2 linked regions of the Diceros bicornis minor genome follow. The protein of the gene in region 1 purifies or fractionates together with the protein of each later gene. This does not show direct contact. Links are inferred from orthologs where the notes say so. Each region holds a gene or a part of one and is shown on either strand. Other genes may lie near its edges. The genes, in order: CLGN and TCTN2.

Region 1 (3,915 bases):
GCACACAGAAGATAAATCTTCAACAAATGTTTGATGAGACTTCCAGTAAGAAGTACTGTACATGAAATAACTTGAACTTTACATTCTGAATTCCTATTAAAATAGTCATTAAAACAGATAAATAGGTATCCTCCTAAAACAACACTCCAAACTGAGAATAAGAATTAAGTGTATATCAGAATCTTGGAGTTTTAACAAATTTTCGCATCAATGCGTCAGGGTAACGGCCCATTTAGCTCTAATTCCCCATTTTTAAATTTTTAGCTTTCAGCTTCTTCATTGCAAACTTTCAATGGATCCTTCAGAAATTCTTCTCTAGCAAGTCAATCATATTTGTTATGGGCCACAGAATTACATTGAATAATAGAAGTTGGAAAGACTGGAGAAAGAAATTAAGAGGATAATATTGTTACATAGTACCTCAAATAAAAATTTTTTAAACCAATAAAATTAAACACTATATAAACATGCTTCAGAGGGTGACACTGTCAAAAATCTAGAAATAGTGGCTTTACTGCTGATGCAATGTGAAAAATATTCAGTGATCTTGGCATCTAGCCAATAACATTGTGCACAGAGCATCATCAATCCTCTCATCAGATACTCTTTAATAGGGGTATCACAAGTCAATTAAATATTTTATTCTTCCAATAACATTGAAATCATTATACCAATTTCAAAGTCGAGATTTACTATAAAATATAAGTAGTACAAGCTCCATGACCCAACATCTACGGGCAGAGGCTTGTGATTCAATACTATGTTTTTGCTGTATTCTTATTTTTAGCGCGTTGGTTAAAACTTCAGGCTCTGAGAGAGTTAAGCCTGGATTTGAACCCTATTTCCACCATTTACTAGTCAAAGGCTCGGCATGTAATTATTTTCAGTTTCTTCACGTGGGCTGTTGTGATGGTTAAACGAGAACAGGAATGTAAAACCCTTAGAGTACAGTGAGCACAAGAAATGATAGCAATTCTTAACAGCATTTCAAGAAGAAAACATAATGTATTTATTAGGTTAACATTTAATATATCTGTATTTATCGTACACAGCACATGAAATAGGAAGCCTCGCCCTGACCACAATGACCTCTCATCTGTTAACAACATACCGAACTCTAGGAAAGGCCTGGGGTACCAACTGGACGCTGTTCAAAAACGGGATTTACATAAAATTCAGGACCCAATTATGCGCAATAGGAGGCAGACCCCCACTGCTTGCAAAGAGGGCAACGCGCTCTGCGGGAAGGAAAAGTCTTGGGACTAATAACCAGACATTCCTCCCCTGCCAGCCCAGTCCACGCTACCATTGGCCCGCGGAAGCGGCGCGGCGCGCGGTGCCGGGAGCGCGCCTTACGGCGGGCGGGCGGCGGCATTCGTAGCGCAGGCTCGCAGGGCGGCGCCCCTCGGTGGCCGTTGAGCCCCCCGGTGCAGGTGCGCGCGGCACGCGCCTCGGGCCCCCGCCTCCTCCCCGCCTGCGGCCGCACGCGCATGCGCGGTTAGCAGTCGCTGCTGGGCGGCCGCCGGCGGGAGTGGTCTGGGGAGACTTAGGGACCAAGTGGCAGCCACTCGGACATCTGAGCTGCCACTGCCGAAAACAGGCCCCCAAGACAGGTGCGTGGGCAGTAGGCCACTTTCCGCTGTCCTTTGCGCTCGCGCTGGGGTGAGGAATCGGAGTCGTTGCTCCTTCCCCCGGGGCGGGGGTTCCTGGGCCGCGCCCCTTTCTTTGGCGACCCGCCAGGCTGAATAGGTTGGGGCCGGGTGAGGGGAGTGGATGTTGAGTTCGGGATGGGGGCGCAGCGAGCGAGGTTCTTGGGCGGGCTCTCGGCCTCGGGAGAAGGAAGGCCATCCTGGGCGGCGGGAGTTGGTCACCTCGGGGACGTTGGGTCCTCCAGAACTGTTGTGTCCTCCTGTTGCGCTGGGCTTGGGGCGGCCTCGGGAAGGCCAGGTGCCCTCCCCAGCCCGGCCCTGAAGACTTAAGGGGCCCCAGGGAGCCGAGTCCGTTACTCCAGCGGTTAGCATTTCAGCCCCGTTCCACGCTCGAGCCCCGATGCGCGCTCCCGAGGGGTGTGGAGGGGACCCAAGGCGCGTCTGGGCGCTGCTCACCCCACCGGCTACTTCTCACAGAAACGCCAACAAAAGTCAAAAAGGCTCAGCTTACGCAATCCCCACCTCTGTAACGGTGAAGGGACCCAACCCTCACAGCGATGGTGGCCTGTGACTCCTGGCTACTCCCTAGATGCGCAGTTTGAAGCGCGGTGTGCGTCGCTGGGGAGGGAGCGAGAGGGTTGGGTTGAAACCAAGGAAACCCTAATTAATAGAGACTCATTATCGCCTAAAGCCTGTTTACGATCAGTCAGTCACTTTAGCTGAATTTATTTATAGCATCTGCCCAAGCAACAAGGAAGAGGCATTTGCTTGGGATTTAAAAGCAAATGGCAACAAAGCTCAGAAGGGGGAGAGAGAAAGTAAATAGAATGGCCATGGGAAGACGTCTCAAATTAGAAGAGTTAATTTATATTGAAACTGATGCATAAAAGCCATCAAAACCCTGATCTAGTCTTATGATTTTCCTTGCTCTGAAATTTTTACATTATTCTTGGTCATTTAATCACTCTAGGTAGCCCTCCTTTTGGTAATTGTAAGTTTGACTTCTTTTCAGTTTATAATTTTGCCTTCACATCTAATTGGTTTGATCTTCCAATCACATTTAGACCTTATCCCTAAATTCTTAGAACAAGATAGTCTATATTCTTTATCTAGTTGATAAAGTTAATTATTGTGTGCGAATGATATGAGGATGTGATGGATCTGTAGAAATTGAACAGTGCAGTGTTTTCAGTACCTAATAAGTTTTAGTGCTCATAATTAGAAAGCTAGAATTGTCAACTTTAGTGGACTAGTTTAGATCATCTAGTTTAAAACTTTTCACTTGACAAATGAAAAAACAGGCCCAGAGCAGTTTTAACCCTTTGCCTTTTTCATAATAGAACTAGAAACTTAGTGTGATGTGCCAAGTTCAGTGTACTATTTATTATATCATTCTGTAGTTGAGTTTCTGAAGCTGCATGCAATTAAGACTTGAAATAGTGATTTTCAAACATGACTTTTGAGGCATACCAGTGTTGAGTCCTCAGTCAGCCATTAAAAATGAAGAGCAGAAAGGCATCTCAGTTGTAAGAAAGAGCATATAGAACAGCACAAATGTGTTAAATAGGTGAGTGTTGAAGGGAGTAAAAGAACTGAGTGTTAAAAGGGCAGAATTTATGCTGAGAACTACAGAGAACTATTGAACATTTTTATAAACAGAATAAGACTTGTTTTTTAGAAAACTCATGCTAGAGAGAAGGTGGAGGATGTATTTGTAGACTGGCAAGACTAGAAGTGAAGAGACAAAGTGGGAGTTTACTAATCCTTTTCAGAAATGATGGGTTCCTAAATTAAGGCTGTGGCATGGGGATAGAAAGGGACATTTAAGAAATACCCAAATGCATTTAGCTACCAATAACATAGGAGGTCAGTGAGAAAGAATAGTCTTAAGATAATGGCAAAGTAACTTGACTGGTTCACTGGATGTGCAGTTAATGGGAGAAAAGAATTGAGATAGAGAAGCAGGTTTGGGAGGAAAGACCAAGTTCAAATGAATGGAGGCTTTGCGACATCCTTGAAGATGGGTAGTGATTGAAACTAAAGTGTGATATCTGAGCTGTGGATGAGATTTGGGAGTCCTTAGCTAGCTTTTATAGGTAGAAGCCAAGAGTATATGTAATGTAAGAAGAGAGCCTGGGACAGAACCCTCAGATACAGCAACATTTACAGAAGATTAGAGCAAGTGCCCATGAAGGAGGCAGAGAAAAGAGAATCAAGAATCGGGAATGGTACCGTAGAAACCAAGGGAGGAGAGGGCTCCAAGAAG
Region 2 (3,915 bases), on another chromosome or scaffold:
ACTGCGCAGTAAGAATGTAAAGGTCTAGAAAGGTAGAACTCAGTGAAAAGAAGGATTTATAGTACATTTAAAATAGCCCATGGCCATTAGTGTTTGCCTAAATTACTTTTTTATGTTTTACCTAAATGTAAAAGCTTTTTGACCCAAGGTCAGGTTCCTTTCAGAATGTTAGATTTGCTGATCAATTAATATATAATAAACATAAAGAGTAATCACGGCAAACATTTATTTGGCGTTGTCTCTTTGTCAGGTATAGTGCAGAACACCATACATGGATTGTCTCAGCTTATTGGCACACGCTCCTTCTGATAGCTAAGAAAACGAGAGAACTTTTATCCAGTGCTTACCGTATGCTAGGCATTGGTCTAAGCTCATTACATATGTCACCTCATTTGATTGTCACACAACCCTGTTTGGGAGGGACTATTATTTTCCCCTTTTTATCAATGAGGAAAATCAAGCTTAGAGAGGTTAAGTGACTCACTTAACAGCGTGCAAGGAAGTCAAAATCCCAAACCAGGCAGTCTGACCTCAGAGCCTGCCCTCTGTCTCCGAACTACAACAACGCTTGAAATGCTTTGAGGCTATTGACAAGAAAAACGAAATTTTTTCCAGGTAGAATTCTGATAACTTTTGCACCTGTCCTAATGCTGGGCAAAACCTTTTGTGTGTTCTGTGGCAAGATCTGCTTTGGGTGTGCTGAGAGCTCTGTGTGGTAAAAAACAAAACAAAACCAAAAAACTTCAAAAAAACCGGGAGAATAATAAAAACAATTCAACACCACAATCATAGCCCAGCGGCCTCACCTCCGTTTGGTCCCTCCCCCCAAATCCCCATAAAAACTCAGTTTACGAAGCTTGCAGGCTCGCTCTTGCAGTGTGACTGAATTAACTCAAGGCGCGGGGAACCCCACTTTTTAAAGTAGACGCGGACTCCCACTCCTTCCCGATCCTGTAGCGGGAGTGGAGGGGCCCCGAGGGCGCAAGGCCTGTGGGCGGGGCCGGGATGCAGCGGCTGGGGGCGGGCTCTCTCTGCCGCTGGCCCAATCACGGCGCGCCGCTCCGCCTGGCCGGCGGCCGATTGGTGGTTGCCATAGCTCCGGGCGCTCGCTTGACAAGATGGCGGCGGCAGGGCAGCGAGGGCCGCGTCTTGGCGCCTGGGGGCCTCCCGGCTTCTAAGACGCGCGCGGTTCTGTGGTGCGGGCCCCGCGCGAGCCCCAGGCATGGGCTTGCCGCCGGCGGCCCCTCTGCTCTTGGGGCTCCTCCTTCTGCAGGGCGTCCTGAGGCCGCTGTGGGGGGACCCGGGTGTGTACGGCGGGGCAGGGGCTGCAGGGCCGGGCTGAGGGGACGTGGCGTGTAAGGGGTCGGACTCGGACTCCTGCGGGAGCTCCGGAAGACGCCGCCAAGGAAGGCCACCACACGCTCCGGCAGGGGCTCTGCAACCATTAACTCCTCCCTGTCCCTTCCTTCCCGCCTAGTTTTCATCCCTCCTGTCATCCGCATGTCCGGCCCTGCGGTCAGCGCGTCCCTGGTCGGAGGCACCGAGGATGTGACCGTGTCCCTGGCCCTGCTGCCGGACGCAGAGGGTAAAGAGTCCGGCCCCTCCGGCTGGAGAGTGGGGGTTGGGCCAGGTCCAGGCCGCCGGAGGAGTCCGGCGAGGTGGCATCCTCAGGGTCCCCTGCCGCTGTCCCCTGCAAAGTCGGTATGGGGAGGAGGGATGGGGGGCCCTCTGTGGACCAAAGAGAACCGACGGACAGGTTCGATGAAAGAAAGCTTGAAATCGTAGTGGCCAGCATTCGTTGAGCTGTCCCCTGTGCTTTACACCTGTCACCTCATTTTTCTAATAAGAACAGTAATATCCTTTAATCCCATGTGACAAATGAAGGCACTGGAGTTCAGAGAGGTTGTCACTTATTCAGTCACACAGCTTATAAAGGGCCCAGCCCTAGGGTTGGAAAGGGATTCTGTCCTAGGGAGCCTGATTCAAGAGTGCACCCCCTTAGCTGCTGGGTGATACTGCCTTGCATTCTCATCTTCTCTCCCTAGGGTTATTGCCAGTTCCTTCTTGTGGAGTGCTGAACAATGAGACGGGAGACTGGAGTTTGACGGTGACCCCCAGTGGGGTAAGGCTTCTCAGTAGCATCTGTGGAGGCCCACATTTGGTGTTTCTACAGTGCTCTCTTGATTGGACAAGATGCAGCTCTCTCAGTGCCCGGAACTACCATGAAACTGTGGGCCAGCAGATCTAGTAGACACCCATCCAGCCCAGAGGGTCTTACTAGGGTTAGGGGTCCTTGGACAAGTGTCAAGCAGTCAGTGAATCCTCTGAAAGTGTGTGTAAAATTACATGTGTGTGCGTTTTTCTGATGAGATGGTCGCCAGCTTCCATCAGATTATCAAATGCAACTGTGACTCAGAAAAGCTTCCTAAACCGAAGGTCTCACCCAGCTCTGAGATTATGTGTAAAGGACACTCAAGCCTGGAGACATTAAATATCTTCCATTTAATAAATGTTTTATTGAGAGGCTAGTGTGTGCAAGGCGTTAACTCCGGAGATAAAGGATGAGAAAGACAGACTTTGCTTGCACCGCAGGAACTGGGGACTGTTTCCATTGACTTTTTTTGTGTCTTTAATCTGCTGGTAGGATGATAAAGAAACTAAAAAGGTGCTGTACAAAGTGAGTTAATTTATCAGAACTGTTTAGCTTTCTCTAAGTATCCAGAAGTCACTTGCTTTTCTGTTAAACCGAGGATTAGGAATCAAAGCTCGCACATTGCCATAGGTTTACAGGGTGGAATTGAACAGAATTATGTCATCTTTGTATACAATTCTCCTTTTGTAAATGAACGGTTGCTGATGTGTGCTTTTATCATGTTTTCCATTATGTGTCCTTATAATTATAGATGCTGTTTTGAGTCACTCTAAAAAGTACAGCAATATTTTCCTTTCAGAATTCATTGGAAGTGACAGTGAGGTTGAAGAGGAGTCTGCAATGGTGTTCCTCCAATGAGACAGATTCCTTCTCAGAGTCCCCATGTATTGTCCAAACTCTTCTGATTTCAGCATCTCACAATTCATCCTGTTTAGCGCATCTACTCATTCAAGTGGAAATTTATGCCAACTCTTCTATGGCCCATAATGCATCAGGCAAGTAAAGTCTTTGACTATCAAAACATTCACGTCAAGCGTTATCTGTCTGATTGTAAGTGTATACCATGCAATTTGTGTACTTCACTCTTGGGTCTGTCTTGCTTTGCTAAACTTATTTTGCTTTTGTTGAGTTTTCTTATTTTAAAAGTTTTCACTTTGTCTTATTTTACTTAAGATTTATTTTATCTTGCTCTACTGTTTGTATCTTTGTAAGCCACCTTAAATCTTTTTTGGGAGAAGGTGAAGTTTGTTTCTGTGTATTGATTCCTGTGACTCCATCTTAAAACAAAAAAACCATACACAAAACCAAAGGGAAGAGAAAGACTCATGAGTGAGTTTGTAGAAAAACAGCAGAGTTTTGGTGAAAGCTTTTGATCTCTAGCTCCCTTTCCTAAAGGCAGCCTGCTAACTTATGCTTATAGAAGCTCATATTCCCTTTAAACACACACACACACACACACACACACACACACACACTATAATAACACTCGATTTGCTATTCTATATGTTTTAAAAAATAATATAATGTAGAGATTGTTCCATATGAATACATGTAGAATACCTCATTCTTTTTAATAGCTACATAGTATTCCATTGTGTAGATATACCATTGTTTATTTAGCTAGTCTCTTAGTAATTGAATTTCAGTCATTTCCAGCTTTTGATACTATAACTAGTGCTACAGCAAATATCATTGTGCACTTATGTCTTTGGACATGAGAACATGGTTTTGTATTATTTTCCTTTTCATATAAGGGCAATGTT

What was found.
Region 2: the proteins of CLGN (region 1) and TCTN2 purify together in Homo sapiens (affinity purification with mass spectrometry; 3 studies listed by BioGRID and IntAct, with this or other methods). This does not show direct contact. The link is inferred for Diceros bicornis minor from reciprocal best matches to the Homo sapiens genes CLGN and TCTN2.

The regions. Positions count from the first base shown.
Region 1 is NC_080750.1:30,748,662-30,752,576, reverse strand, and holds the start of CLGN (calmegin), read left to right. Parts: upstream 1-1,509; 5' UTR 1,510-1,613; intron 1,614-3,915. UniProt on the Homo sapiens protein: Functions during spermatogenesis as a chaperone for a range of client proteins that are important for sperm adhesion onto the egg zona pellucida and for subsequent penetration of the zona pellucida.
Region 2 is NC_080774.1:6,829,659-6,833,573, reverse strand, and holds the start of TCTN2 (tectonic-2), read left to right. Parts: upstream 1-1,150; 5' UTR 1,151-1,222; coding exon 1,223-1,304; intron 1,305-1,477; coding exon 1,478-1,585; intron 1,586-2,045; coding exon 2,046-2,122; intron 2,123-2,951; coding exon 2,952-3,147; intron 3,148-3,915.